2 linked regions of the Coturnix japonica genome follow. Each later gene encodes a partner of the first gene's protein in a complex. Links are inferred from orthologs where the notes say so. Each region holds a gene or a part of one and is shown in the gene's direction. Other genes may lie near its edges.

Region 1 (14,585 bases):
GAACAGAAAAGACTAAGAGTTGTCCATCTGTGGCTTAGATGACATCGAATATTTTGCTGCAGAAAAGCAGATGAAGAACAGTGGAATTTCTTTTGGGTTTGTGTGCTGCTTTTTGTCCCAATTTATTAGTCATGTACTTTTGTTGGTGAATGCAATGAGGAACCAGGAATTGAAGAAAAGGAACAAGCAGACTGGGAGGAGATGTGAGCAAAAGTACTGGGAAGAGTTGGTTTACGACTGGGAGGGCACCCTGAGTGTGGGCTGGTGCTGCTGTCTAGAGCTGGGAGTGGAACTCCAGAGCTTCAGCCTGTATTTTTTATCTTACAAATAGTGGTAAAGTCCTCTGACGTGAGTGTGCCTGTTGGCTGAAAGCAGCAAGAGGACAGGTTATACAATAATATATGTATTTACAGAAATTAGTTACGCCTGTCAGGGTGTGTTGCAATGATGACATCAGAGCCAATATCAGATATCTGTAAGTACAGAAGGGAGAATGCATTCCCTGGTAACAGACCTTATTTTAAATGGCTCAGGGACGCTGAATACTTCATGTTGATCACTTGTTGTTCCGTAACATGCCACATGAAGCCATATTCCAAAGCGTCACATGATAGTAAAAGAAGGAAAAAGTTGTCATCAGACCTTAAACAGCTGTATGTGCAAGGCCATAGAACAAAACGTAAAGCTCTTTTGTCTTAGAATAACTCAGAGGAACTCTTTATTTTAAACAGAATCAAGCAGCTTCTTTGTTCCATACCAGCCTTGGATTCTCATTTACTTAATAGCTTATTTCTGCAAAGATAATTTAGGAGATGTCACCTACAGCATTTAAAAGTATAAAGATAGTTTCAAAATATTATTTTAAACTGTAATTTCTTGGTTCTTTATAGTGGGAGTCTTAACAGTATATGAAATGAGGGATCGTAAGCCTCAATCGGCCTTTATTGGGGAGTTTGTATCTTCCCAAATGCCTACAAGTTTACCATTCATACTGTCAGTCTGTTCAGATTGTGTTTCTTGCGTCCATTGGCTCATGGCTTTCAGGATTCCTCACTTTGCCAGAACCTTTAAAAATCAGCTCTATTGCAGGCAAAGCTTTAAGTTTTTTAGCAGCTACTGGTTATATTACACTCCCAATTGCTGATCATTTCTTTTCCAGATAATTGGCACCCAGCTATTCTAAAAGAGTTAGCAGGATCTCTATTCTATTGCTTTCAGCTTATGGTAACTCCTGGATCTACTGGGAAATTGAATCAAAGGGTCCATTTTATTGAGAAGTTCAAAAGAATTCTACCAGGTCTGTTGAGGTGCCAGTACAGATCTGAGGCTGTTCGTATACAGTCTTCAGGTATTCTAGCACATGCGGCACTGATCAGTGCAGACCTTTGCTATAAAGTAAGGGAAAATGTTTTGTTGAAAAAAACCAAACCAAACAAAACACAAAAACACCAACAGAAAACATAAAATGTGTAAGCCGGTTGGCTCAGCCTCCCACTGGGAAAGGCCTGCAAGCCCCTACTGTCTGTGATGAAGGGACCACTAACTAGCATGCAGTGTGTTTGTAGTTCAAGATGGCCTTGCTTGCTTTCATCCGCAGGTGGCAGCATGTTCCCATCTGAGCAGAAAAGGATTCTTTTTGTTGTTCTTTTGTGCTGTTTTTGACTTGTCTTTGTCATGCAGAAGATGATGCTTTGTTCTGAGAGAGGAGGAAGAAAAATCTCTCTTAACACAATTTGTGATCTGCCTGCATATGCCACAACTCTTTCAACATTCCTGAGTGGGCTCACTTTGCTGTTGCAGCTGGGATGGGTCCTTTTTCCAACCATGTTATCCTGAGATGAGAAAAAACCCATCCTTCCTGAGCAGTCTTGCTTTGAGATTGTTTCCAGAGCCCTGGAAGCACGTCTCTTAGGGAGTCCTTGGCAGAATTGTCTCCGTACAGGATAAGCTATGACACGTTCCTGCGTTAGCAGTGCTATTTCAGCTCATTATCTCCAGCAACATTAAAACTAAGTTTTTTAGAAGGCTGCAAATAAGCCTTGAAGTGTTGTCAGACTCTTTGATCTAACAACTGATGATAGTTCAAAATATGTTTCTAGTTTAATGCTTATCCTTAGAAGTAAGGGCTCTGCACTCCAGTACGTGGTTTTGCTCCATGACACTCTCCAGTTTTGAGCATATGTTGGCTGGGGTTATTGTCCTCCATGGTTGCTCTCCCCTTGCTGTCTGAGCACCATCACCACTCAGTAGAGAAAGAGGAGCGTGAGGCAGTTTGGAGGTTGCTGCCTAAAGCAGTGGGACGAACTGGCAGTGCCTGCCTCTGCCCTGACCGCAGTTGTTTTGGTGGCTGAACAAGCTTTTCTTTCTCCCCTCTTGAAAACAAACCCCAGTGTACTTCAGAGGCAGTGCAGTACCTATATCGTGATCTCCAGGATACTGGGGAAGGTATGTGTAGTGAGGAACGGCTTTTGTTCTTCCTCTTATGTGATTAGCCAAAGAGGGTTCAGATTGCATGTGTTCCTTCTTCACTTCCTGACTAATTAATCTTCTGTCAGTAATGTGTAGCTGAAAGGGTTTATAAAAGCCGGGCTAGATTTCAGGTGCTTCAGCCAAGGCAAGCACTGCCTTTTTGTGCTGGGGCTAAGCACTTTGCATGTGAAGCAAGCTTTCACTGAGGGCCTGAATGCTGAAAGGCCACTCCAGTTGCTTCGCTGGTAGAGATGATGTTTTTCACCTCTGAAGGAAATGTAGGAAATACCGTAGTGCCCAGAAATGTGGATATTTGATTATACGTATGTTTAATATTCTTCCTAAGCACCTTTGAAGAGATTTTAAAGAATGGGCGAAGCCTATTAAATTTCACAGTATAAAAATTGCTCAGGATCAGTTGATGATTTATAGTTCTGGCCTTGAATTACAAGATGGTCCAGGCACAGCACTAAGTTAAAATCGGGTACCTTGTTTTTTCCTGGTATAAATGCAGAACTGTTACAGAGCAGGATTTCACCTTCCCTACTGCTCTTAATTTCTTTCCTTCTGCCCTCTCCGCAGAAGTGTTGTTGTCCATGCTTGTCCTGTACTCAGGTTTTAGCTCAGCTCAGTGAAGACTCTTAAGCTGTTTTTAATCTCTGACAGATTTTATTACCAGTATGATACAGAAGTTTATCTCCAGATCCATCTCAACCTTTTTGCAAGAGCGGGCAAGACAATCAGAGCTGCAGGGTAAGCTGCAGGAAGCCACCGTGCAGCCACTTACCCATGACACTGTTTCCCAAATGTAAGCATTTATGGAAGGAGAATGCGTTGGATTATAATAGCTCAGGGAACAGTGGCGAAAATTGCTTTTGTCTATGAGGCACCCCAGGCAGTAAAGCTGCAGAAACATCCTTACCCCTCAGGTATTTCACAGAGGAAGGCCATTTACAGAACTTCTGTTGTGCTGCCCTCTGTTCTGCTATGTGTACTTTTCCTGCTGGTCCAGGTTCATTGTTTTAAGTCTGTGCGTGCAGGCACCTTGATGTTAGGGATGCTAGCAAATACTGAAGTAGCCTTTCAGTCAGCCCCATTCCCTCCTTCACTATCTGGAGAAGCAGGGGAGCAGCCCCTGAGTTGTGCTAGTTCAGCCAAGCCTCTGGGTTGAAATATTTTAGTGATCAAATTGCAAGATACCGCGTACAGCAGGATTTGTTCACTCAGGGTGCTGCAACTGCAGCTCCCTGCCTGTTTTGGCAAAGACCTGCATTGCCATCAGATCTCCCTATGGTTTCACAGCCCCAGTGTTGCTTTGGTCAGAAACTCTTTGGAAATTTCTTTCCAGGGGATTTTTTCTCAGCTCTGTATTGTCATAGCAGCTGAAGTGACAGGAGTTGGCAGCTTGTCTGAGTACAGCCTGCTGTGGTCAGGTGCAGCCTTCCTTCTTGACTGCTGAACGGCCCTTGCTTTCCATAGTTGTTACTTGTCCTGGTTTAGCTATAAAATAGTTTTCTGACTCTGAATGAAGAGTCTACCACCCTCACCATGCTCTGCTGGCATAAAGATTGCCCAGCAGTTGACGGGACATAGGGAGGGAAAATAGAAAGTACTTTGGGATTGCCGCGGTTTTATGTGTAGCAGGAAGGCATGCATCTGAACCTGTTCTCTGTGCCTGGCTGGAGCAGGCTGGTGTGCAGTGAGCTTTCTGCTTCAGCAGTCCCCTTCCTGCTCTCCACACCAGGTTTCTGCAGGCCAGTTCCTTGTCACTGGCCCCTCTCGTTAACTACTACAAGTGGTGACTCTCTTTTTTGTGAGGAGTCGCAACAAAGGCCGGGGTGATGGTGATTCAGTTTCTTCTCAAAGTAGCTGGAGAAATCACATCCTGTCATGGATTAAGGGTATGGATTTTAGGCCTGGAGGGGCAGAAATGTGGATGGCTATTTCTTGGGAGTGGTGGTTATTGCCAGCTTTTCACATAGGCTCTCATGTTTCAGAGAGGATGTCACAGTAGTTCACAGTGTATTCCCAAGGTCTAAACTTTCACTAGCTGATAGGGGCATAGTCCTTGGTGACTGAATAAATCTGACAGGTAATATGGAAATGGTTCACTGCCAGCCAGCCAGCTGCTCTCTTTCTTCATTTCCTGCATTTAGTTCAGTATCTGGTGTGACACGGAATTGGTTTTGTGATGAGATGATAGATGTACTTCTTGGCTCTTTAGATGGAACCCTGAATACAAACCACAATTATGCACGACCATGTGAATGTGTCCTCACCTTTATGCTGTTCTTCCTGTTCTGAGCCAACCCTTTAACACAGAATATTGCCAGGGGACAGTTTTATTGTGATTTTCCACTTTCCCGGGCACTAAGGTATTTTAGTCCCGGCTGTGGGACTTCACCACGGAAGCTCTTCTGCAATTACTGCAGTCAGAGCTACAGTGCTTAGAGCTGCCTGATTGGTGGAGGAGTATTTGAAAAGAATGGCTGAGTACTGTGCAGTGATTCTGATAGGGCCAATTAATGAATTAAACTGTCTGTACTTAAAGCCCATTTTAGCATTGTGATGTTATTGGTTCTTGGTGACTGTTAAGTTTATATTTCTTGACCAAGATTAAAAGGTGAATGTGAAGCTGTAATGATGGTATAATCACTGCATTACAAGAAATGCAAAATGCTGTGGTTAGATATTAACTGTAGCCTGCACTTCTGTTGTTGTTCATCCTTCAAGAGCTGACCATTTATTTTCTAGCGTTTAATTTTTCACTTCTGTTCTCCAGAAGAATGTAAGCTAGTTAACCTTAAGTACCTATCCTCTGCTTGGTTTTTTTGTCTTTGGGTGTTGTTTTTTTGCATCAAAGCATAGTTTTCCATGTATCGTGCACTCTAGTAAGGAGACAGGTCACTTGTGTTTGCAGCACAACATGGTAGGAAGAAGACCACTGTTTTGTAAAAGTTCAGAGCGACCAATTCTCTTGATACCATCACCCAGTGTGCACGTGCCTGTCACATACATCTGAAGAGAACTGCCTGCATCTCTCACAGGGCTTGTCTGCGCAGAGCTAAAGGCAGCAGAGCACAGCGTGGCCTGAAAGCATCTCTGCCTAGAATCTGTTTAATATTTATGTGTTTACATGCACTCTTCTCACTTCATGCATGAATTGCAGAAACACATGGTTGGGAATATGGTTTCTTGCAGAAGTGTGATACTGAATTTGCACAGCCATCGTGTTATCCTTATTTCCAGCCACCAGCGGGTCTGAGTGTCCTGCTGAGTCCCACTTGGATGCTCAGGACAGGGAGAAAGAGCTTGAAGGAGTGTGCCCTGCTCAGCCCGAGGGATGCACTAGGACCCTTGCTCAGGCTGCAGCCTTTAAGACTGACATCTGAGTGCTTATTGCTTAGAAGTGTCCTCTGTGTGTTTGGCTTTGATCTTAACACAGCCCTGTCCACCTGCTGCAACAGGATGAGGTGAGAGATGATCTGTGAGAGCAGGTACCGCAAGATACCCCAAAAGCCAGGAATCACACCAAAAATGGCTGAGTGGACAGAGAATGTTTTGACTTCGGTGTCACTCCTTGCATTAAGTTATCTGAAATTTGCTGTCTGAATGATTCTGTTGTGCTGCACAGCCTGAACACGAGCAGTGGGCTGAGCACTATCTGCTTGTAACCAAAAGTGGTGCTCTGACGGGGCTTAGTTCTAAAAAGCACTGCGTTACCAAAAATGAACATTTGCTGCTCTTCCCTGGCAGAATTCCTTTCTTTTGTTTCCGGAGAAGCTCGAACAGCCCCTTTCTGTTGGCAATGGGAAGAAGGAGCTGAGACTTAAGGCATGCCCATTCTGAGAAAAACAAGATGCATTAGGAAGGGAACAGCCCAAGTGCAGGGTGGAATTCTGCTCTTTACAGCTCTATACAGGACCATTTAGTTGCAGTGTGCCCAGAGCTGGTGTGTTTGTGGCAGATTGTCACTGGAGTGTTTCATCGCCTGCTGCATAGGACAACTTCTTACGCATGCAGAAGTTGTGGTTGTTTTGACAACTGTATACAAAATTTATCTGGAAATAAAGGGGAAAATTTAGTCTTGCGTTGCTATGTGCGCCTTGTGTTTTATTTATAGATTGTTAGCCAAACCTGCTGACAGGATATATCTAACTGACTGCCTGGGGAATGAAGGGAGGTAGAACTGTACCAGCCGCTGCCGGGAGAAGGCATTCCAGAGGCTCTGTGAAACTTTACATGAGGCAGAAAGTGCTCAGGCAGATGGCAGCTGCTCTAATTAAGACTTACTGTCTCTGCTTTTTTTCCTGCTGCTGTGGTTTTTAAGGTATCTCTCTTCTTTTTAACATCAGAAGAATTCTAGTAATTTATTATCCATACGGCATGGTATGTATTAGATTACAGCGATAAACGAGCTTGCAACTGCTGAAGTTAAATGTCTTCAATCTTCAGTAAATTGGACTAAGAGATGGCAAGTCTCCCATGACAATGGCAGTGGAAGATGTGTAAATGAAGTTGCCATTTATGGTTAGTTATTACCTTTCACCAGGATCATTTGAACTGAGGCTTATAAAACACACTAACAGTCTGCTCTGCCACGGGGGTGCTAGGCAGAAGGATGAATGCTGCAGAAAATTACCATTAAACAGACACATTTTGTCTGTGGGTGCCCCTGAAGCTGGGATGCTGGGGTACGCCTAATGCAGATGTGAATCAGCTCATCTTTTTCCATGAAGCACTGGGAGCTTTTGTTGGTGGTGGGTTTTGGAAGTGCATCCAACTTTAAGAGTGGGTAAAGGCTGTGCTAATTGGGTGCCTGCTGGCAGCAAAAACTGCATTGCAGGCTGCTGTATCAGAGTACTTCAGTGTCAGAACTCAGATCTGTTTCTTCTTTCCTTTCGTGCAAGGGCTTTGCCTATGGTTTGGTTTGTTCACTGAGTTGTGAAACAAGGGTTTGTTTCGTGTTTCAGAGTTTCGGAAGCTGTGGAGGAGCATTCCCATGGATTCTATAGATGAGGACAAAGTTGAAGAGTACCTGAAACGACAGGGTATTTCTTCCATGCGAGAAGCTGGACCGAGGAGAATAGTAAGAAATACAAATTGCAGATCTTTCTGAAAAATTCCCCCCCTTGCTGACCCTCCTTGCTGATGTTAATTCCTGCGCCTATGCACAGCTGCTTTATGTAGCTCAAGGAAGTGCAACCAATTTTAAGAAGCTTCAAAAAAACAATGCTGAAGCCAGCAGCCAGTGTTTTTGTAACTCGTTTCAGCCAGCGTAATCCCAGCAACATCAAGAAGAGGGCAAATGCCAAAAATCCCTGAGAACTCCAAAGTAGAAGCTTCTCCTTAAAGCTGTACAGTACGTTAGGAGCAAAACAATAGCAGCTCTTTTGGGAGAAGATTTTCTCTTCCCTTTTTCTTTTCTGCTGAACAGCCTTGAAAACGCTGATAGGAATTGTGTAACCCGCCTCCCACCACTCTTGGGCTGTTCCCCAGACAGAGTGCAATGTGCTCATGCTTTACTGGTGGGCCAGAATGGCAACAAGATCTCCAAAGATGCTTTCTTCCTGGCTTAGAACAAGTTTGCTGTTTTTTCTTTTTACATTTACTGATACATGGTTTACCATCTCTTTTCTCTTCTGCTCCTGGCTTCAGACTGGCCCTTCACAAAGCCCTTCCACACAGGATCTGTTCTTGGTTTCTGCCATTGCTACAGTGGATGTTATAATATGTGCTGTAATGTGGGCACTTCTCTTGTGTTCCGCTTATTCTCTATGTGTCTTTGAGCACATCATTGTAGCTATGGGCTGTCTGCCTTCTTCGGTAGCTCTCTGGGAGTGTTCAGAAATCCCACTTTCAAACAAATGCCAGCTCTCCTACAGTGCACAAGATACCAGGAGGCTCTGCCGCATCCCCAGTGCCAATTCCCCGCCAAGATATGAATTCAGTGCAGTTGCTTCCTGCATAAAGACAGTTCGCCTCCTGCCTACTCCTTCTTTGCACACAGCTCCCCTTTGCAGTGAGGTTAATGCTGCAGGTAGCACAGTGTGTCCCACCTCAGGTCGGATGCTGCAGCTGGAAGGCAGATCTTTTAACTGCCATTTATTTCTTCCTTTAGGCTCCTGCTCAGAGGAAGAAACCCACTTCTCAGAAGAAACGTCGATTTAAGACTCACAATGACCATTTGGCTGGAGTCTTGAAAGATTACTCTGATGTCACTTCTGGCCAACAGTGACTGGCTGAATTTTGAAGCAAACAGACGTTTTTCCACAGGCTTTTTGCCACTCAGGCTCAGCGACTGCTTGCAGGAAGACTGACTCTGTACAGTAATGTGATGTGTTTCCCTCATCCCAGTGGCTGACAAGATGGAGCAGATCTGTTTAAAAGCAAGTTTGGACTACTAAATTTAGAGATTAATTTAATTAGCTAATTGGAAATGTGTCTTCAAATAAAAGGTTCGCTCAAATTGCCTCTTGGCATAGAGTGATAAATGGTGCTCAACATGAAATACAGGAGTTCCTGTTCACTGCTTAACTCTGCTTTTACATTGCTTAATGGGTGTTTACCTGGAATTACTTCAGAGGAGCTTTCGTAGAATTGAATACAGCATTGTTGTACCTATTTCAGGGAAACCTATTCCTAAAATCACTGCAGGCGAGTTTCTTTTACAGTCAAATATGCCCACAGTTTGTGTGTTCCTGCCTTGCTATGGAGTTGAACTTTACCAAACTGATGGTACCTGAGGTTCTGACTTGGAACAAACCCTCTCCAGAGCTCCAGGCAGGCTGCAGGGGGGCACTGCAGCTGCTGCTTCTCGATGCTCATCAGAAATTGCTCTCAGCTGTTTCTCCTCACTGCAGCAGATGCAGCTCTGTTGCACAGGCGATTTCTCCTCACTGTAGTGAATGTACCTGTGTTGCACAGTCCTACTGTTGGGTAGGGGAAATAAATTGACAGTGTAATACTGCAACTTTTTTCTTTTTTTTTCTTTTTTAAGTTAATAAACTTACAGTGCTTGTTTCCAGTGTTTCTTCCTTAAAGAACATGAGAGCGTGTACTTGTGTTTTCCTTTTCAAAGAGGTAAAGGAGTCTTTGGTGTGTTTTAATCTTCTCAATGACTTATTGTTCTGGGCTAACCCTGTCATCTCTCATCATTCTTGTTTGGAGGAGGGAGAAAACCACCTTAAATGAAAGCTCGCTGTAGATGCCTCATGTCGGTTGCAGTACAGACTGCCTAACATGGAGTGTAGCCAAATTATGTCTTCTTGATAACTTATTTTTATGTACTGAACCAAAGTCAGTCAATGCTGATATTGTTTTCACAGTGCTGCTGCAGAGGGGCTGTTCCTCAGCTCTTCTGGGGTTAGGATCAAAGATGAAACAGATGAGTGTGATACCTGCCAACAGTTTGCCGCTGCCTGCGCATGAGCTGCTGTCTTGCCTAATGTATCAGGATTGGAGCAGAGGCCGCTGGATCTGGGCACACCAACAGATGAAGAATAAGGCTTTGTTGGTGGAGTGCTGAACAGATTACGTCTGCTTGGGAAAGCGCAGGAGGAAAAATAAACTTCTGTAAGTGTAGCATTTATCCTTCTGTATAGTACACAAGCTTTTTAGAGTGTGCTCTTTTGTGAAACAGGCACTTTGAACATGGTACATGTCAGTCCTGTGTAAAGAGATGCTCAACACCAGTAGGAGGTTCCTTTTATATTTATATGTGTATATATAAAAAGCAGGCAGCATGCTGGTTTTGAAACCTGTTCTTTCCCTTTTCTTCCAGGTTAGCACAAGTGATTCATCTTGGAGCTTTTTACTTTTCCATTACAGCTCTGCTTTAAAGCACCCATGGCACACCTGCAAAACTGTTCTTTTCTGTCATCTTTGTTCAATGACAAAGATTCCCTTCTGCCTGCTGCATTTTTTTGAGCCGTGCTTTTCCTAGTGGTGTTGCTTGGACAAAAGCAGAGCTCTTGGTGAGCTGTGAGTTGCTTTTCATGCCTTAATGGAGTACCTTCCCAGTCATCTTGCACAGCCTGGCCCTGTGCTGTGGGCTGAAGCTTGCAAGGCAGGCTGTGATGCAGTTACCTGTGCAGTTTCTCCGCTGAAGTGATTAAGAGGGAGACTAAAGATGTCTCTGGCTACTTTCAAAGATGAAAATTGTATTAAGTCAAGAAATAAGAGAGCAGGAAAGGAAGATTAGCTTGGTGTGCTGTGGTGCCGTTGTCAGGCTCCAGTGTTCAAAGGAATAGAATGGTCCAGTAGATACCAAGTTAGGAAGAGTGGACCAGTTGCTTTCTCTTTGGTGGAAGTCTCTGCTGAACTAACAGGGAGGGCAGAATAAGCTTTGAAACTTGTTAGGGTAGAGTCACAAAGTTTGAGAATAGCTGACAGGATGCCTACACTAGCCCCTGAGAGGTAGCACAGATAAACAGTCATGAAGAAAATACAAGTCCAGAAAATAAGAAAGAGCTCCTCTCTTCTGTGTGGATTTGAAGAGATGAGTTCTATTTCTGTATCAGAGATGCTCCCAGCTGTCAGTCCTGTGTTTTTGGGTTGTTTTTGTTCCTCCTCCACTCCCCAAGTACCTCTTTAAAATCAAATAGTATATCTTGAAAATGTCTCAGACAGTGCCAACACGAGTCTGTTTGCTGAAAATATTTAGCAGCACTCCCATCCACTCACTCACCTCACAGCATAATGTCCAAGTCAGTTTTTTTGGTGAAGTTTAATGTAAGAGATAACAGCTGTTAAAACCTTAAGCCTATTTTATCTTCTTCCACAGTGTTCCCATTTATATTCTCCATGCAGGGTGCTGGCCCAGCTGCTACATCACCTTGTCCAGATTAGCCAGACGCAGAGGGGTGTTCAGCTCCCCCTCTGTGATGCTGATGGACATATGGACAGGACCCCGGGGAAGAGACAGCTTTCTCTCAGTGTCAGAAGCTCTCAGGTATGTCAGCGCTGCCCACGTCATCCCTTTGCTTGCCTCACTGAATCTTTAGCCTGTAGCTGCAAGGAAGCTGTGGGGAGGAGGCGTTTTGCCCTCGTAGTGGATAGCTGTGAGCTGAAGTGGGTCAAGAGAGGTGTGAGCTGAGCCCATCACTGCACTCAAGTGAGCATCCAGGCCGGGCACTGCTGGGTATGTGCCTGCTCCTCCCCATCATCAGAACAAAAGCCCTGTATCTTGAAACCAGTGCAGGTGAAATAGCCGCAGGGAGTCGCAGCTCTGAGCGTGGAGGTCTCTTGGCTTGTCTCCTAAAAGTTGCTCTGGGGAGGAGCTGTTCCTCCTCCCGTTACAATGATCATTCTGGAAGGGGATGGAAAACAGCAGGATTTAGCATGGTTGAATGAGAAAACTGACATAAGACAGTTTGTACAAGAACTTATCTATAATTCATCATGATCATACCAGGCTTTTAGAGAGCAGGGCAGGGAGGGGCAGGGAGTCCTGCTGCGCAGCGTAAAGCCCCCACACGTGGATGCGGCTGGCCTGCGCTGTCACTTCGATGAGCATGGGCAGGCAGTGCTAGGCCACTGGGGATGGCTGGGCCCCGCTGCCTGTGGGTGAGGAGGGGCTGCAAGCTGCAGAGAACTAGAAGAAGTCTTGGTACTGACATCTTATTATTTCCAGCTTCGTTGCTTGCTTTCCGGTCGCTGCTTATGTACCAGGCTGGAATTCCTTAGTGTGTTACTGCTTCAGGGACTGCTGGCAGCTACTTTTCTGGGAAATCATATCTGGTAGGACTGAGGGTGTACCCACCACCAACTGAGGGTCTGATGGCTGCTGGGGAGAGCTCAGCCCTTGGTAGGCTAGACCTGAGACCCTTTTCTGATTGCTCATTTCACTCAGTGCCGCCCAGCTTGCAGTAGAAGCAGGTCTTGCTGCAGCTTGCTGGCCCCATCTCTGCTGCTTTGGGGTGCCGGCACATGCTGCAGGCCTGTCAGACAGCTATGACCTTGAGAACTTCATTTGGGACCCACGTGGTGTAGACTGTCAGCCTTGTGGACTGCGTGTTGTGCAGAGCAGGGGAAAGGATGGGAGGGCAGGAGGTTTTGTTGAGTTAATTTTTTGACTGTACCTGCCTTTCTGGGCTTACATCCAAGGCCTTGAAGTACTTGTGTGACTTCCTCCCGTCTCCCGTGGTTATGTTGCATTCTCCATTCCCTCCTGAGCTAGTTATTAATTATGGAGGCTGAGGAGACAAAGTCCAGACTCTGCTAATAGTTGACTTACCCATATTGTAGAGGCAGCATTTCAGTAAGCTGCTAATGGTCCCTCTCAGCTCTAAACCCCTCCACCACTTTGGTCTCTGGCCTATGGGTGGCACTGAGCTTGAGTGTTGAAGGCCAGCCTCAGGTCTTTTAGGCCTGCTGTGCCTCCCTGCTAGCTTCCCTCCCAGCCTGCCTCACCAGCAACTGTGTGGCCATCTCTTGGCCCCATCCTGCTGCCTAAACCCCGGTACTGTCCCCTCTTTCCTCTCCTGGACCTGTTTTTCCTTCACACGACTCCAGCAGAGCCCTGTGGGAGCACTGCCACCTGGCCTCGGGGCAACCCTGTCTGCCCTTTGCTCCCTCCCCCCCAGTACTCAGTGCTGAGTGGTTTGGGGAGCCAGCAGCGGGGCTTTCCCCCTGCCCTGGGGAGCAAGGGCACAGGAAGGGGCTGCTCTCATTCCCTCTACCTGGCTCAGCCTTGACCATTGGGGCTGGAGAGGGAAGGCCTTGGGAAAGTGGCAACGTTGAGAGTGCCTCTCCCCATCTCGTTTTCTCTAGCTTTGCCTGTGCATACCCATGGGATTGGCCGTGGCACTGGGTGCCAGCTTTGGCCTGGAGCTTCCCAGCACTGTTTTGCAATGCTATCGGCAGGGCCTTCCTGTAGGCGTCCAGCTGTCCCAGGGGGAGTGCAGCCCCGGCCTGCATGGGGAAAGGTCAACGCAGGCAGAGGGGATGCCGGGCCTGGGCAGGCAGCCACTGCTCCCAGCCCTCATCAGCGAGGGGAAGGCCAGCCAGCACAGCACTGAAAATATTTTAGCATAGAGGAAACAAAAGAAGGGGCTCAGGATGTTAAATGTTTTCAGCTTCTTTTTGCAGGGCAGCTCTTGCCATGAGCTCCCTCAGCCTGAAGCCACTTGCTGCTGTGCTGCTTCCCAGCGCGCTGTGCCTCGTGCTGAAAGGGCCAAGGGTACAGTGTGGGCCGGTTCCCACTGCTCTGAGCCAGGCAAGATGTGCTGCTCAGAGCGAAAGCTGTGACCTGCAGTGGCCGTGGGTGGATTAGCATCCAGCACTGAGGCCTTAACCCGTGGCTCATCTCTGCCAGCTGTGCGTGCTGAGTGACACCGTGCCTCTTGCCTGCCCCAAGCAGCGAGCTGCATGTGCTCACGTCCTTCAGATGCGCTTGTGAGACCGAGCTTACTGCTGGTACCATGCTGCACGAGCCTGGCTGCTGCTGGGGCTCCTCGGGGGACCGCCCACAGTTATTGGGATGGGATTGATGGAGGAGGAATTCAGAGCTTGGGCTGATGGGATGGTTTTTGAAAATTCTCAGTGCGTTAAATAATAATAATCTGGCCCATCGTCTCTAGGTTACGTTTGCCTCATCTGCAGCTGAGCTCATGGAAAATCGCAGCTTAGCTCCCGCACTCAGTGCCAAGATGGGGAGTTTAGAAACAAACCGATAACATCTTTATAAACTTGGAGAGTTTCTTACAGCTTGCTGCTCCCCCATCCTGCCTGCTGCAGCTCTCCTACAGGCTGAAGCTGAGCCGGGCAGCTGCTGTCTGCCCTCCAGGCCTTGCTGCTGTGCATTGTCCCCTGTTGAAATCACAGTACGCCACGCTCCACGTGTAACTTACAATAATCACTGGCTTTATTTTTAAAAAATTACAATAGAAAAGTACCTTTAAACATATTTCCAAAAGCGGAGAAGACAACATGGAAGCTCCTTTCCTCTCCACAAAAACAGAACAAAACACAGGAAACAGTTTGCTACAATAGTCCGTTGCTGGGAGCGCTGTGCTGTCCCTGCAGAGCTACTTTGCTCGAGGCACCGCTGCCCACCCTGCTGCACGCTGGTGGCCCTGTGGCACCCCTTCTTGCCCCCACCTGTGCAGCTCTGG
Region 2 (15,534 bases), on another chromosome or scaffold:
ACCGTGTTACTGCATCACCATGTCACTACATCACCATGTTACTGCATCGCCATGTTACTGCATTGCCATGTTACTGCATTGCCATGTTACTGCCCCCAGCGATGCACTGGGACATAAACAGATCCATGTGTGCTGTGTGTCTGCCTCTGTCTCTGGGCTGTACTGGGGGAGGGCTCAGCTCACACTGTGCATCATGTAGGGGCTGGAGGTGCTGCTGAGTCCCCATGGTGACCCCCGGGTGCCCCATGGTGTCCCTATGGTGTCCCTATAGTGTCCCTATGGTGTCCCTATAGTGTCCCTATGGTGTCCCTATGGTGTCCCTATGGTGTCCCTATAGTGTCCCTATGGTGTCCCTATGGTGCCCTATTGTGTCCCTATTGTGTCCCTATTGTGTCCCTATTGTGTCCCATGGTGTCCTCACAGCGTCTCCACGATGTCCCTATGATGTCCCCATCATGACCTTCCCTATGGTGTCCTTGTGATGTCCCTATGGTGCCTCCATGATGTCCCTATGGTGACCCCTGTGCATAGCCCCGGATGGCACAGGGTTGTCTGTAGGTACACGGGGCTTTGTGGTGTTATATCACTCTGTGAGCAGACATGGTGCCTGCACAGCGCTGTGTGGGTCGCAGCTCGTCCCTCCGCCCCATATGGGGGCTTATAACCATGGGGGTCCCTGTAGTTCCCATCCAGCCCCAGACCCCGCCCATATTATATATAAGACCACGCCCGTTTCCTTAAGCCCCGCCCATTTACCCAGAGCCGCTCGCTGATTGGTCGCCCTCCGTGCCGGTCCGCACATGGGCTCGGTGCTCTGTGGTCGCGGGTTCGAGTCCGCGCTCCGCCGCCCGCTCTGTCCGTGTGTCCGTCCGTCCGTCCGCCCGCATGTCCCGGCGCTGCGTGCTGTCCATCCGCATCGTGGAGGGCAGGAACCTGCCGGCCAAGGACATGTGAGTGCTGCCGGGGATGGGGGGTGGCATCTTGCCTCTATACACTGCTTTGATCCAGCCCCCAGCACAGCTTTGGGGGTATCCCTCCCATCCAGTGCTTTGGGGATCCCTATAGGGTGGGTTTGGGGTCACCCCTTGCAGCTCTTTGGGATGGTTTCAGCATGTCTCCTCCCAGTGCTTTGGGATCTCCCCCTGCACGGCATTGGGGCAGCCCTTCCTTTAGGATCTCCCCCAGGATTGGATGTGATCCTCCCAGCAGTTCTGGGAGGTTTCCTTCCAGCTGAATCCCAGCAGCTCGGAATGCTTTGGGACCCCCCCCCTGCAATGCTTTGGGACCCCCCCCCTGCAATGCTTTGGGACCCCCCCCCTGCAATGCTTTGGGATCCCCCTGCAATGCTTTGGGATCCCCCCCTGCAATGCTTTGGGATCCCCCCCTGCAGTGCTTTGGGATCCCCCCCCTGCAGTGCTTTGGGATCCCCCCCCTGCAGTGCTTTGGGATCCCCCCCCTGCAGTGCTTTGGGATCCCCCTGCAATGCTTTGGGATCCCCATGTAAAGCTTTGGGATCCCCCTGGGGTGGCTCCGTGTCTCTGTCCCTCTTCCAGCACCTGCTGCAGGGGCTGCTGTCCCCATCGGGTGGGGATTTCAAGCTGTTTGTGTGTCCCAGCATTATCCTCACCGCTCCCATCTCTATGGGGCAGGATTTGAGAACAGCGCCGGGTGGGATGGGGACAGCACAGGGGGGGACCCATCCATGGGGAGCCACCTCGGAGCGCACTGCGGGCGGCTGGAAAAGCAGCAAAAAACCCCGCAGCCGTCATGGAAAAAGAGGATAAACAAGGGAAGAAGCGCAGCTTCTGGTTTTTTTAAGCCCCGTGTGTCAGGGCTCGTGTTTTTCAGTCCCTTGGCACGAAGCCCTGCGGGGACCTTGAGCCGGAGCGGGGGGGGGTTTGAGGGCTGTGCCTTTGGGAGGGCAGAACGTGGCTTGGGATGGTGCCACGGGCACAGCTCCATCCCCGGGATTTATGACCCCCCCCCGTCCCTTCTCCATTGGGATCGCTGTGATTTCCCCATAGAAATCCGAGATGTCACAGCGCTGCTGATGGATCACAGTCCGCCCGCAGCCGCCCACCCGCAGCACGGTGTGTCCCCGGGCACGCTGACACCGCAGCCCCATCGTTCTATCTCATGGCAGCGCTGTGATATCAACGCGTTTCACGCTGTTTCCATGCTCAGCTCCCCTCCTGCCGCTCTGTGCTTCCCCCTCCCTCCTACGAGCCCCTGCCCGGCGCCTCTTTGGCACCAGGACCCCAACACAACTGCCCATAAAGAGGCGGAATAACGCTCTGCCCTATGGCACATCGCTGTGCTGCTCCTGCATCCTCAGCGCAGGAAGACAAAGAGCATCCCCTGCTTTGTGTGCGGGGCAGGTGGCATCGTTGTGTGTGTGCTCAAATGGTTTGCACAAGGCAGGAAATGTCAGCAATACAGCGGGGTTAATGATGCTTCATCCGCCGTGTTCGTGCCCAACCTGCCCCTGCTCTTAGCAACCAGCGTGACACGGGGCTGCCCTGCGTGGGGACACCTCGGGATGCAGCTCCATGGGAGGTGACAGCGGCAGCTCTCAGCTTCTCCTTGTTCATTTTGCTTTCCCCAACCTGCTGCTTGTTGCTGCAAACCCACCATCCCAACCATGTGTCTCCTCCCCGACCCCTCCTGTCCCCTGTGCTCCCCCTGCAGCTCTGGGCTCCAGCATTACAGGGAGCTGCCAGCCCCACATTGAGAACCCAAAGCCCTTCGCCCTCATAGTTTGGTTCCGCCAGCTCCGCCGCCTCCGGCCGCAGTGAGTCACCGTCCTCAGGAACTGAGCTGGCCATAAAGTGCTGTTGTTTTGGCAGCAGCTCGCAGCAATGGTGAGCTGAGCTGTTGGCAGCTCACTGAGCATCGCTGTGACCAGGGGTCCGTGTCACCGCAGTGTCCCCAGGGTTGGTCCCGTCCCTACAGAGAGATCTGGATTCTGGGTCCATTTGGGGGCTGGAGGGTGTATGAGAAATTGGTAATCACAGCCTGAACCTCTGATTAATCAGCTGAGGCAAGTGTGGGGTCAGATGTGGGAGCACAGGTGAGAGTAATGGAGCTGTGCTCCTGGAAGGGGTGGAGCTCGACTCCACCTCCTCTAGACCCCATTTAAGGGCTGAGCACCACTAAGGCAGCATCTCTTGGGGATTGCTCCCTGGTGGAGATTGCTTCAGTATTTCCCAGTGAAGGCATCCATATGGGTGAGATTTCCTTTACAAATAACCTTTTGAATATTTGCCATCATCTTTGTTACCATCTTCATATCATTCAACCTTACAAGGGGGCTGTGTTGGCTCCTGGAGCTCCTGCTTTGGGGAAAGGGTGGGATTTGTTTGTTCCCTTTCCGATCTGGATGAGGAGCTGCCAGCAGGATGCTGTGATCAGGGCCTGGAAGTCGGGGTCACTACAGTGCTAATGGGGTCATGCCATTGCCTTCCAGCACGGGGAGCAGCGACCCGTACTGCATTGTGAAGATTGACAATGAGGCCATCATCAGGTGAGCCCTGCTGCCCACTCCCATCTGGGTCCCAAAGCTTGAGACATGGACCCCAGTGCCAACCCATAAACCACCCCAGTGTGGGTGCTGTGCACCAGCCCTGCTCATCTGATGCTGGGATGTCGCTGGCTCCATCTGTCCCACAGGACTGCCACGGTGTGGAAGACACTGTCCCCGTTCTGGGGGGAGGAGTATGAGGTGCAGCTCCATCCCACCTTCCACAGCATCTCTATCTACGTCATGGATGAGGATGCGCTCAGGTACAGGCAGAGCACTCTGGGGACAATGCAGGGTTGGGCTGGCAATGCTCAACTCCATAGCAGACAGCAGAGAATCCACACCTGGCTGTGCAGTTGGAGGCTTTGGGACATCCAAACTGCCCGGCCACCCTCCGTGCCACCTCCCTGTTGTGTCTTGCAGCCGTGACGATGTCATTGGGAAGGTGTGCATCACCCGCTCCATGCTGGCAGAGCACCCCAGAGGTAGGGGGCAGCGGGGTGTCCCCAGCCCTACACCCAGCCGTGTCCCCACACCCTATGCCCATGGTGCCCACTGGTCCCATAGGATACAGCGGCTGGGTGAGCCTCAACGAGGTGGACCCTGATGAGGAGGTGCAGGGGGAAATCCACCTCCGTGTGGAGCTCCTGGAGGGCGGGCAGCGGCTGCGATGCACCGTGCTGGAGGCCAGGTGATGTTGGGGATGGGGACGTCCCAGTCATGGGGTGATGGCTCTGGTGGGGCCTGGTGGGATTTCACCCTCTCCTCCACAGGGATTTGGCCAAGAAGGACAGGAACGGTGCGTCCGACCCCTTTGTCTGTGTGAGCTACAATGGCAAAACACAGGAGAGCACAGTGAGCTCAACTCAGCGTATCCCCTGATGTCCCCATGGGGGTGGGATGTGTGTGCCATGGGGCCAGAGCCATCTCCTTTGTAGGTGGTGAAGAAATCCTGCTATCCTCGCTGGAATGAAGCCTTTGAGTTTGAGCTGCCCAACCCCCCTGCGGAGAAGCTGTGTGTAGAGGTGTGGGACTGGGACCTGGTCAGCAAGAATGACTTCTTGGGCAAGGTGAGCCCTCAGAAACACCCTGTATGGCCCCATTACTGGGGTGGGATGTGAGCCCGTCCCACCCTCCCCCAGGTGGTGGTCAGTGTGCAGGGGCTGCAGGCAGCCGGGCACCAGGAGGGCTGGTTCAGGCTGCAGCCGGACACAACCAAACCCAGGGAGGACAGGTGAGTGTTTGGGGTGTTCCGGAGGGATGTGCAGTGGGGTGCATGGTCTGGATCTGCTCTCCATGTTCCTACAGGCGCCGGGGCAGCCTGGGCTCACTGCAGCTGCAGGTGAGGCTGCGGGATGAGACCGTGCTGCCCTCTCACTGCTACCAGCCCCTGGTCCAGCTGCTGTGCCAGGAGGTGAAGGCAGGGCACCAGGTGAGGCACTGCAGAGCCCCAATGGGACGCGGTCACAGTCATTACCACTGTGCCACCATGTCCTGTGTCCCTGCAGGCCGGTGGGGTTCACCTGGTCACCCTCCTTGATGAAACCACCACGGCCGAGTGCCGGCAGGATGTGGCCATCAACCTGGTGAAGCTCTTCTTGGGCCAAGGGCTGGTGAAGGAGTTTCTGGACCTGCTCTTTGAGCTGGAGCTGGCCAAGCCCTGTAAGCCTGAGTTGGGAGCAGGGCTGCGTCTTCCTTACCTTCATTTGGAGCTGTAAAACTTCTGGTGTGCTCTGGTTGGGAACACGTTGGGTTCATCATCATCATTGGCTGTAGTTGGTGGAGGAATGGGCAGGTGTTTGGTTGGAGAATCCCTGTAACTCCAGGGTAGGGTAGAAATGCCTGGTGGGTACCTGGGGCTGCTCCACTGGCTTCCTCCTGTTTCTCAGGTGAACCCAACACTTTGTTCCGGAGCAACTCCCTGGCCTCAAAGTCAATGGAGTCTTTCCTCAAGGTGCTGTTGCCCCTAAATCCCCCTTGTCCGCAGGAAGCTTCACCCCAAACCCTGCTCCTTCCAGCTCACCACAGCTCCATGCTGTCCTAAGGGAAGGACATGGGGAGCTGTGTCTGCCTCTGGGGCCAAGAGCTGGAGAAAACCCCCTAAGGTTGGGTGCTGTGGTCCCCTGGGCAGGTGACAGGGATGCAGTACCTGCATGCGGTGCTGGGACCCACCATCTCCAGGGTGTTTGAGGAGAAGAAATACGTGGAGCTGGACCCCAGCAAGGTGGAGATCAAGGACGTTGGGTAAGGGGCACAGGGGCTGCAGTGGGTGGGGGTACTCAGAGTCCATGGGACTGATGGGGTCTGTGCACCCGCAGGTGCTCGGGGCTGCACCGGGTGCAGACAGAGAGTGAGGTGATGGAGCAGGGCCGCCAGCTCCTGCAGTCCTACCTCGGGGAGCTCTTAGATGCCATCAGTAAATCGGCTCCTACCTGCCCTCCTGTCATCCGTGCTGCTTTCCGGCAGCTCTTCCAGCGTGTCGGGGAGCGCTTCCCCCAGCATCAGGTCAGCTCCAAACCCAGTAGTGGGGATGGAGGAATGGGGCCAATGGCTTGATGATGGGTGACTTAAGTTGGTGGGGGGGCAACCAGCCCAAGGCAGGGGGTTGGAACTGGGTGGGCTTAGGGGGAAGTTCTTTACTAGGAGAGTGGTTAGGGCCTAGAACAGGCTGCCCAGGGAGGTTGTGGATGCCCCGTCCTTGGAGGTGTTCAAGGCCAAGTTGGACAGGACCATGGGCAACCTGATCTAGTAAAGGTGTATGTTTGGTGGCCCTGCCAGGCAGGGGGTTGGAACTACATGATCCTTGAGGTCCCTTCCAACCTGGGTCATTCTGTGATTCTGTGGGCTGTGAGGATCATCCAACCCTGAAGCATCATGAGGGATGGTGCCATGGGGATGGACCCTCACACATCTCTTGCCCCCGGTGGCTGCAGCACACTCAGTTCGTGGCTGTCACCAGCTTCTTGTGCCTGCGCTTCTTCTCCCCCGCCATCATGACCCCCAAACTCTTCCACCTGAGGGAGACACACGCTGATGCACGTACCAGCCGCACGCTGCTGCTGCTGGCCAAGGTGAGCTGGGACATGGGCACAGCGGGGTGGCACTGGGGGCAACGACTCCACCATGCCGTGGTCTGCAGGCCGTGCAGATGGTGGGCAACATGGAGCCAGCGGCAGGGAGAGCCAAGGAGGAATGGCTGGCCCCGCTGCAGCCCGCCCTGCAGCACGGAGCCTCCCAGATGAGGGCCTTCATCACCCGCCTGGTGGGCACGGAGGAGGAGGAGGGTGGAGAGGAGCAGCCCTGTGCCCCCCGCAGCAACGTGGTGAAGGAGGGGCTGCTGTTTGTCCATAAGACACGGGGCAAAGGGCCGCTGCTTGCTTCTGCATCCAAGAAGCTGCACTTCTGCCTCACCAGCGAGGCACTCAGCTTCAGCAAGAGCCCCGGGGCAGAGGTAGGGGGACGTGGGGTGGTGGGATCCCATGGTGGCACGGAGGGCACCGAGCGCTGTGTCCCCAATGGCAGAGATGCGGCTCCATCGCTTTGGCCAACATCCGAGCGGCCGAGAAGGTGGAGGAGAAAAGCTTTGGGAGCTGCCACGTCATGCAGGTGGTCTATGTGGATGAGGCCGGGCAGCAGGAGACGGCGTATCTGCAGTGCAAGGTGGGCTGGGATGGGGACGGGGCTGTTTCCCATTGGGGTACTGTGTGACCTCGCTGTTTAACCCGCAGTGTGTCAATGAGCTGAACCAGTGGCTGTCTGCGCTGAGGAAGGTGTGCGGCAACAACCCGCAGCTGCTGCGCTCCTACCACCCCGGGGTCTTCAGGGGGGATAAATGGAGCTGCTGCCACCAGAAGGACAGGACGGGTACGGGCTGCTGGGTGGGGGGTGGGGGTGGTGATGTCCCCGCTATTTTCAGCCCCTGTTCTGTCCCATAGGACCGGGCTGCGGCCGGACCCGGCACAGCATCACCCTGCAGGACTGGACCGACCCGCTGCAGCCCGACGTGGAGGCGCAGCGGCTCTTCCAGCACCTGCACGGGCTGCAGCAGCCCCTCAGGTGGGACCCACAACCGGGGGCAGCCCCCAAAGCGCCCCCTGCCCCGCGGCCAACAGCCCCTTTATCCGCAGGGAGAAGTGCCGGCAGCTCATGGAGCCGGGGGACCCTCAGAACGGAGAAGGTAGAGAAAGGACCCCCAGCTCCCCATCCCCCCCATAGGCGCTGTGCTCTGGGGCTGCTCCCATTCCCGGGGGGTCTCACCGCCCCGCTCTCCCCCCCCCCCAGCCCCACCGCTGACCCCCGCGCTCCGCCGGCTCCTGGATGCGCTGCAGGACCTGGAGCGCTGTCACCGCCGGCTGCCCCCGGCCCAGCCCCCCCTGCAGGAGCTGCCGGAGCCGCAGACGTGACGGACGGACCGGGATGTGCCGGGATGGGGCTGGGGGGGGGGGGGGGGGGGGGGTCGCAGCGTGGCAATAAATGCGCAGCTCCACCCGCTCCGTGTCCGTGCCTTTATAGCGCACTGCGCACGGTCCGCCCGCACGGCAGGGGGCGCTGTGGGCGGAAGTGACGCTGTGTGCGCTGCGGGGAGCGGTGCGGAGCCGGCGGGATGAACGCGCCGCCAGCATTTGAGTCGTTCCTGCTGTTCGAAGGGGAGAAAAAGTGAGTAGGGGGCGGGATGGAGGATGGGGGGGGTCCGGTGGGGGGTTGGGGGCTGCCCGGACCGTCCCGTGCCCCCCCGGTTCCCCCCATGTCCGCCCGGGCTGTGGCAGTGAATCGCCGCCCCCTGTGCTGTGTAGGATCACCATCAACAAGGACACCAAGGTGCCCAACGCCTGTTTGTTCACCATCAACAAGGAGGATCACACGCTGGGAAACATCATCAAGTCGTGAGCTGAGGGAGCTGGGCGCTGCTTACAAGTGCTGGGGCTCTTATAAAGCTCTTACATCTATTAATGTATGTTTGTTTGCTGCTGCTTTGCCTCCTCCCCCAGGCAGCTGCTGAAGGACCCCCAGGTGCTGTTTGCAGGTTACAAGGTCCCGCACCCCCTGGAACATAAAATCATCATCCGCGTCCAAACGACCCCGGATTACAGCCCCCAGGAGGCCTTCACCAACGCCATCACCGACCTGATCAGCGAGCTGTCCCTGCTGGAGGAGAGATTCAGGGTGAGCTCAGTTCTGAGCACTGCGAGAAGCCCATCCTTTGAACCTAAGGGAAGGGCTCAGCCCAGAGCTGCTGCCATCTCGAAGATGATCAGGGGGCTGGAGCACCTCCCCTATGAGGACAGGCTGAGGGAGTTGGGTTTGTGCAGCCTGGAGAAGAGAAGGTTGCGGGGTGACCTCATTGCAGCCTTTCAGAACCTGAAGGGAACCTATAACCAGGAGGGGAGTAAACTCTTGGAAAGGGCTGACAATAGCAGGACACGGGGAAATGGTTTGAAGTTAAAAGAGGGAAGATTTAGGTTGGATGTCAGGGGGAAGTTCTTCACTAGGAGAGTGGTCAGGCCCTGGAACAGGCTGCCCAGGGAGGTTGTGGATGCCCCGTCCTTGGAGGTGTTCAAGGCCAGGTTGGACGGGGCCGTGGGCAACCTGATCTATGGGGTCTCTATGGGGAATCTATGGGGTCTCCTGGGCAACCTGATCTAGTAAATGTGTATGTTTGGTGGCCCTGCCAGGCAGGGGGGTTGAAACTACATGATCCTTGAGGTTCCTTCCAACCCGGGTCATTCTGTGATCATCTAGTCCAACCATTCCCAATACTTCCCGGCTAGATCATACTCAACAACACAACATCCAGACGTTTTCTTGAACACTCCCATGGTCGGTGACTCCACCACCTCTCTGGGCAGTGCATTCCAATGCCTGACTACCCTTTCCGCAAAGTAAAACTTCCTAATGTTCAGCCTGAATCTCCCCTGGCGCAGCTTAAAACCATTCCCTCTAGTTCTATCACTGATAACACAAGAGAAGAGGCCAACCCCCAGCTCACTACAACCTCCCTTCAGGAAGTTATAGAGCAATAAGGTCTCCCCTGAACTCATGCAGTTGTTGTTTGATGTGAAATTGATGAAATCAGTGTTTAAACCATCCACTGACGGTTCTGTTTCTGTTCTTTACAGGTTGCCATTAAAGACAAACAAGAAGGAATCGAGTGAAATCAGCCTGCTCTTAGTGTGATACACTGCTGATGAAGAACGATGTGTCTGAGTGAAATGCTTTATTTAAACCTTCATTCAATGCCAATTACTTTCCTTCCAGTCCTACTGACTTTGGCAGCAGTATTGGGAGGGGATGTTTGTATCTGACATGTCTTGTTTGATTTCATGGCTTAATTCACTAAAATGGTTTTCACTTTTCTAACTGGAGCCTCACTGTCACTATGTGCACTATGCTGTAGCTCAGTCTCACTGCCCTTATGGCAATGAGGAGATGCTGAGTGGCAATAACGGGTCACAGCCCTGGTTTCCCATTCCAAGAAGTTCAGATTCTGCCAGCAGAGTTGTTGTTTTGTTTTATTAAGTGTCATTTCTATAAAACAAATGCACAAATTGTGTAAACTTACAGGAAAAAAGCCTGGATGACTGGATGTGCTTAACGAACTCTTTTACCTTTTGCACGTAACAGCTGGTCTAGAAAACTTTATGGTTATATGGGTAACAGTCACTAATACTGCACTATTTCAAAACACGGGGAATGAACTTCTATAACAAGGAACTATGACTTCTTCCAAATGGCTGTAATGTTCACACTAGTGAGAGCAACAAGGTAAGTGAAAGTAGGGTCTGTTATCACGTTGTTTATGTAGACTTCGCTCAGGTGTTCCCCATTTGCTTGAAGCTCCGGCCATTTGAGAATCTACAGGGAGAACAGAGTTTGTGTAGGAAAGGAATGGTATCATTGTCCATGAAACTTGGGCAATATCAATTATTGCAAAGCCTGGTTTGACAACTGGAGCTGGGTGGGGTCCAAAGAGGTCACATCCCTACCAGATACAGTTAGAGCTAAGACCACACGTGCCTCACAGCCTTTGTGAATGTGTAGTTGTTAGGGCACACTACTGACCCACAGCAGGAGTGTGCTCAGGAAAAGAATGAGCAAAAGAGAAGCAGGAACACAGGCCAGAAGCTTCCCCTTCCCCACATGCAGTTCTACCAAGGAGCAGCTGCTGCTGTTACCTCCACTCATCCAGACAGGGAAACAGTGGCTGCACACCAGACAGCAGCGCAGGAACAGCTTGTGTTGCCAGGCCATATATAGTCAAACAATCATATTTTTTACAGAGAGGCCTTTACCCAAGGAAAAGTTGACAAGCTGCAGCACACAGGAGTGAACAAATTTGCTTTGCAGCTCATAATCCCTGTCATAATTGTGTGTGTGATTGGAAGTGACCTTGGTCACACTCTGGAGATTGGTTTTAATTGGCTGTGAATGTTAGGTAGAGAAGATACGAGGCATGTTCTGGTGTGAAACTCAAGAGAGCTGCCCTGGGGAGGAAGGGAAGCACAGCTCTGACACAGAGGGTAAATGAGACCTACCTGTGTGGGCGGGATTCTCTTGTCTGAGTGTTTTCCCTTGGCAGAGCTCCATGCTGTGGTGTAGTCGGAGAGGTGGTAAATCCACACACTTCCCTTCTCATCACCGCAGAACACATGCAGTTTTGCTGTAAGATTAAAAGAAGAAGCAGGGAAATTAGAGTGGAGCTGAGGGTCCATTCTATTATAAAGCTGAGCTCCAGGCAGCGCTTTACCCTCTCAATGGAGGATGTTACATTCCATCAGAATTATCTTTCTGGCACCAAAGAAAAACCCACCCCACTAAACTACCCAGCTCTGGAACCCCCATTCGGACTCCATAGATTTGAAAAGCAATGCTCAGATCAGGTTTCTTTACTCCTCATTAGCCTTACACTGCATTGTGACAGGTGTATCACAGCGAGGTAAAACACCTCTGCCTTTAAAAGCCAAGGAACAGCCTCAAGTATTTATATGCAGCAGGTGCCCATTAGCTGCACTGTGCTGGGATTGCAGTGCTGCAAGTTAAGGATTCCTGTTGCTCACAGTGGCAGGCCAGCTGTGCTCTCTTAGCCTGGGCATTAAATCCACTCCTCTGCTTTAAACAACAGGCTCCTCCAGCAAGTGGGAGGCATTTGCAACTGTAAACAAGTAAACCTTGAGCAGTATGGCAGCCTCTGGTGCAGCCTTGTTACTTGGGAGTGCTGAAGAAGGGTGCTGCCTACCTGGGCAGGTGCTGAGTGTGAGATAAGACAAGTCTGTTGTGGACCACTCCAGTTCAGCTAGAATAACTGCAGGCACTGTTCGCTGGCTTCCTTTCCTCTTCGTGTCAAAAGAACAACTCCAGCTCCATAAGTAAATGCATCCTGGTTTGGAGCTCTTGGAAACTAGGGAAGAAAACAGAAGATGATGTAAAGGTGCTGAGAAGTGCTTCAGAACAGCTGGGGAAGGCAGTCCATCTAGAAAGTGGCTTTCAAGACATGGGATCTGACAGCAGCAGCAACTACTTCAGCTTCTTTTACCTTAATTCAGGATAATTGGAAATTTCAGGGGGATTCCCAGTCCTACACATGTTCCAAAACTGCAACAAGCAGAGCTGTTCAGAAAGACCCACTCTAGGCCTTACAGAGCCTCCAAATTGTGGGACCCAATCCTCTGCAAAGGGCTTTTAGCAGCCCTCCAACAGCAAAGGATTCTTTCCCTTCCATTTCAGCACTGCTAAGCAAAGTCTGCTGTGTTGGGTCTGTCTTTTTTTTCCAGCTCTGCTCAGACATGACTCCATATCTCATCTTTTTAGCTCAGTGAGTCTAGAAGGAAACTCCATTGAGTGCAGCCCTCCAGAATCTACAGTAGATGCAGTTACACCCCATTTACTTCCTCTGCATTATCCTTCCACACCGAGGTACCTGACTTCTTACAGATCTGGCCACCCCGTTTATACTCACCTACGACATCATCATTCAGAAAAGCCAAACCATCGACCCTGTGAGACGCTGACATTTCTCCCTCCTCATCAGGAAATTTGAATGAGGCTTCAAAAGGTCTGGGGAAGGAAGAGTGAAATAATTCAGGCCCTGAATGAGCAGCACTGAAAATGGGCTTAGATGCAGAACCCAAGGAATGGAAATCCATGTGTTAATCTCTTTCCAGATAAAGCAGATTAATTTCCTATTTGAAATCAATTATTCAGATACCTGGACTTTTCAATGCACCAGAAGCCTGCTTGCTTCAGGGCCGGCTATTTTACTCCCTTTCAATTTGGTGAGCCACGCTGCATTCCTGGCACAGACCTCCACATGAAATGAAGCTACGACTACTACTGTTGTTACAGAAAGCAACTCTTGCTCTCACCTGCTTTTCTCTTCCTTCTCCAGCTTTATATTCCATGCATAGCAGCCTTCTTCACAGCCAGCCAGCAGGTATTGCTCTGGGCATGTGGGGACGAGGGCAATCCGTAAGGGTACAGACAAACACTCCAGTACCAGCAGCTGGCTAAAAAGAGAACAGTGAAGTGGTGCTGTAAAGCAATAGTTACAGGCTCTTAGACTGGCCACATCTATTTTTTTTGTACCTTTACCTTGCTTTGAAATTGTAGTCACAGTCTGGAATTCCAATATCCCACAGCACAATTCGCTTGTCATAGGATGCAGCTGTAGGACACAGAAGAGAGGCAGATAGTGACACAGGAGATTTTTGTATTAAATAAAATAAGCCTTGCTGTCCACACCTGAGCAACACTGTCAAGCTCATGAGCCCTGCACTACTAAGCAATACAAGGATGTGGTAACAACTTCCCAATCTAAGTTTCTGCTTTTTACACTCTTGGAAAGCACCCGTTGCAGCTGCCCTTGTTTTAAAGACATTCCACTTTAATGGTTCGTGTAACTGCTCCAGGATGTGAGCAATTGGAGGCAAGAGGGACAATGTGCCTTGGGGTGCAGGTGTGATCTGAATGTCCCTGTAACAGCTTACTTCACAGACCTGACAATGCAGCTGCAATTTGTAACACGATGGTTCATTTCGCACCACTCCTTACGCCTTAATCTCAGTGGGGCCCACTGCAGCTCACTTCTACCTCAAGACCTGGACAGAAATTTATGACAAGGCACAGAACTCTACAGATTTTCATTTATTTCAAAGCAATTAAGGGCACTGTTTTGCTCATTAGAACAACAAAACCCAACAGGCCAAGATATGCTGCACTGTCCCTCTTGCCATGCTTAACGAGCGCCCTGCTAGCTGGCTGCCTGCTGCCTGGCCCCCAGCAGGCTGCTCTGCCTATCATTCTTCTTACCCATCCCTGTGGAACGAATCCACTGCTGGAACTGTTTGTGGCTGGTTTGTGGCAGCCTGAGAGCCTGCACAGCAGGGAGCTACTGAGTGAGAAACTGGAGCTGCTGCACCTCAGCTAAGGAGTCAGACTGTCTGAAACAACTTGCACTGCTTTGGTGGCACCCAAAAAGAGCTCTCTGTGTAAGGCCTGTCTATAACTCATGCTTGTGTGGTCCCAGTAAACACTCAGCTCCCCACACCTGCTAGCAAGGGTGATGGATCCCCTTGTGAAGGAAGCCCAACCTCTTCCAGATGAGGTACTGAAGCTAAGGAGATTCTGAACCAGAGACTTACTGAAGAGGTGAGTTTTTTGAGTTGGGCTGAAGCAGACAGTTGCAATGGGCTTTTTATGAGCCTTTATTTCTCCGTAGCAGAAGTCAGCTGCCACATGAATCAGTTTGACAATCCCTCTCCTTCCTGCAGCTGCCAAGATATTATGAGATTTCTTCCGACTGTCACTGATCACCATTGGGAGAGTTGTCCATGCAACACTGAAGAACTCCTAGGACATAAAAGAGAGACAGCAGGAAGGCTGTTAGTTCAGAGATAACAGCTGCCATGGAGCAATCCAGGTGAACTGACATGACTATTTAGGCACAGGCACTGCATTTCAGAACACCTTTAGAAGAATGAAATCTAACCAAACAGGATGTTCATTTGTCTATGCTGTCAAGCTTTCTTAGCAGCTTGGATACACACACATATGCCTCTCTGAATAAGAGAGAGGCATAAAACTGATAAAACAAAAGCAAACCAGGCTAGAAGGACAAGCAAGAAATATTTACTACCCATCTTTTAAGACCTGTCCACAGTAATGCTTGTAACCTTCTTTCAGAATTGTTTACAACATTATGGAATTAAAGAGGAATCTGGAATTTCCATTTAATACTTATTGTTCATATTTACAACCTACCTCTGTAGCCACCTTATACTTCTTCAGCACCACCCCTGTTTCACAGTCGATCAGACAGACAGACTCCCCTCCACATGTCGCCACAGTTCTGGAACAACTCACAGTGGGATCTGAAAATGAAAAGAGAAGGTGAGAAGATCATGGATAACATATGAAGACTGCACACGGCCCGGTGCTCTCCCAGAATCCTGTTTTCATAAGTCGAAGTATATACACAAATCTCTTTCTGACAACAGAGATTACAGCTTGATTAAGCTGGTGTCTAACACATGGGGTCTGCTGGTTCAGGGAATCCTGAAAACCTCTTTAAGGGCTCACCTTTCCTGGGTGCACCGTCTAGCAATGGCTCGAAGACACAGGACCAGAGCTGCGTTTTAAAATCTTCGCGGCTGTTTCCTTTACTGTGACACTGGAGAAAATGCAATGGCTCTGCACTGAAATCCTCCTACAATAAACCATCCACATTTAGAAAATCCATTCCCCTGACAGTGGTTAGTGACTGCCTTGGGAGAACCCCTCTACCAAATACAGCAATCTGAGTTAAACCAGAGTATTTTTCAGCCCTCCTGGGCAGGAGAAATTAAGGTGCCACTGATGCTCAAGACACCCAAAATAGAAAGAAACTCTTTTAGAAAAGGTGTGTCCCGCAGACCCCAGCACTGAACTTTCTTCCCTCTTGCAGAGAAACATGAAAAACCCTTTTAGAACCCCACTGATAAGAGCTGAGAGGGAAACACTTTCCCCCATGCAGCCATCAGCTT

Evidence for each region.
Region 2: GTF2E2 (region 1) and DNA-directed RNA polymerase II subunit RPB11-a share a complex: the UniProt entries of both Homo sapiens proteins name them as parts of the TBP-based Pol II pre-initiation complex. The link is inferred for Coturnix japonica from reciprocal best matches to the Homo sapiens genes GTF2E2 and POLR2J.

The regions. Positions count from the first base shown.
Region 1 is NC_029519.1:30,647,614-30,662,198, forward strand, and holds the end of GTF2E2 (transcription initiation factor IIE subunit beta), read left to right. Parts: intron 1-7,442; coding exon 7,443-7,558; intron 7,559-8,590; coding exon 8,591-8,707; 3' UTR 8,708-9,515; downstream 9,516-14,585. UniProt on the Homo sapiens protein: Recruits TFIIH to the initiation complex and stimulates the RNA polymerase II C-terminal domain kinase and DNA-dependent ATPase activities of TFIIH. Both TFIIH and TFIIE are required for promoter clearance by RNA polymerase.
Region 2 is NC_029534.1:3,074,823-3,090,356, reverse strand, and holds DNA-directed RNA polymerase II subunit RPB11-a, read left to right. Parts: upstream 1-8,044; 5' UTR 8,045-8,123; coding exon 8,124-8,176; intron 8,177-8,313; coding exon 8,314-8,403; intron 8,404-8,508; coding exon 8,509-8,683; intron 8,684-9,636; coding exon 9,637-9,672; 3' UTR 9,673-10,015; downstream 10,016-15,534. Other genes in the region: ras GTPase-activating protein 4-like, read left to right, coding at 886-950, 3,467-3,523, 3,670-3,783, 3,944-4,005, 4,088-4,211, 4,294-4,375, 4,459-4,590, 4,663-4,754 and 12 more; LRWD1 (leucine-rich repeat and WD repeat-containing protein 1), read right to left, coding at 10,232-10,372, 11,053-11,177, 11,754-11,915, 12,474-12,571, 12,880-13,020, 13,106-13,178, 14,155-14,362, 14,774-14,883 and 1 more. UniProt on the Homo sapiens protein: Core component of RNA polymerase II (Pol II), a DNA-dependent RNA polymerase which synthesizes mRNA precursors and many functional non-coding RNAs using the four ribonucleoside triphosphates as substrates.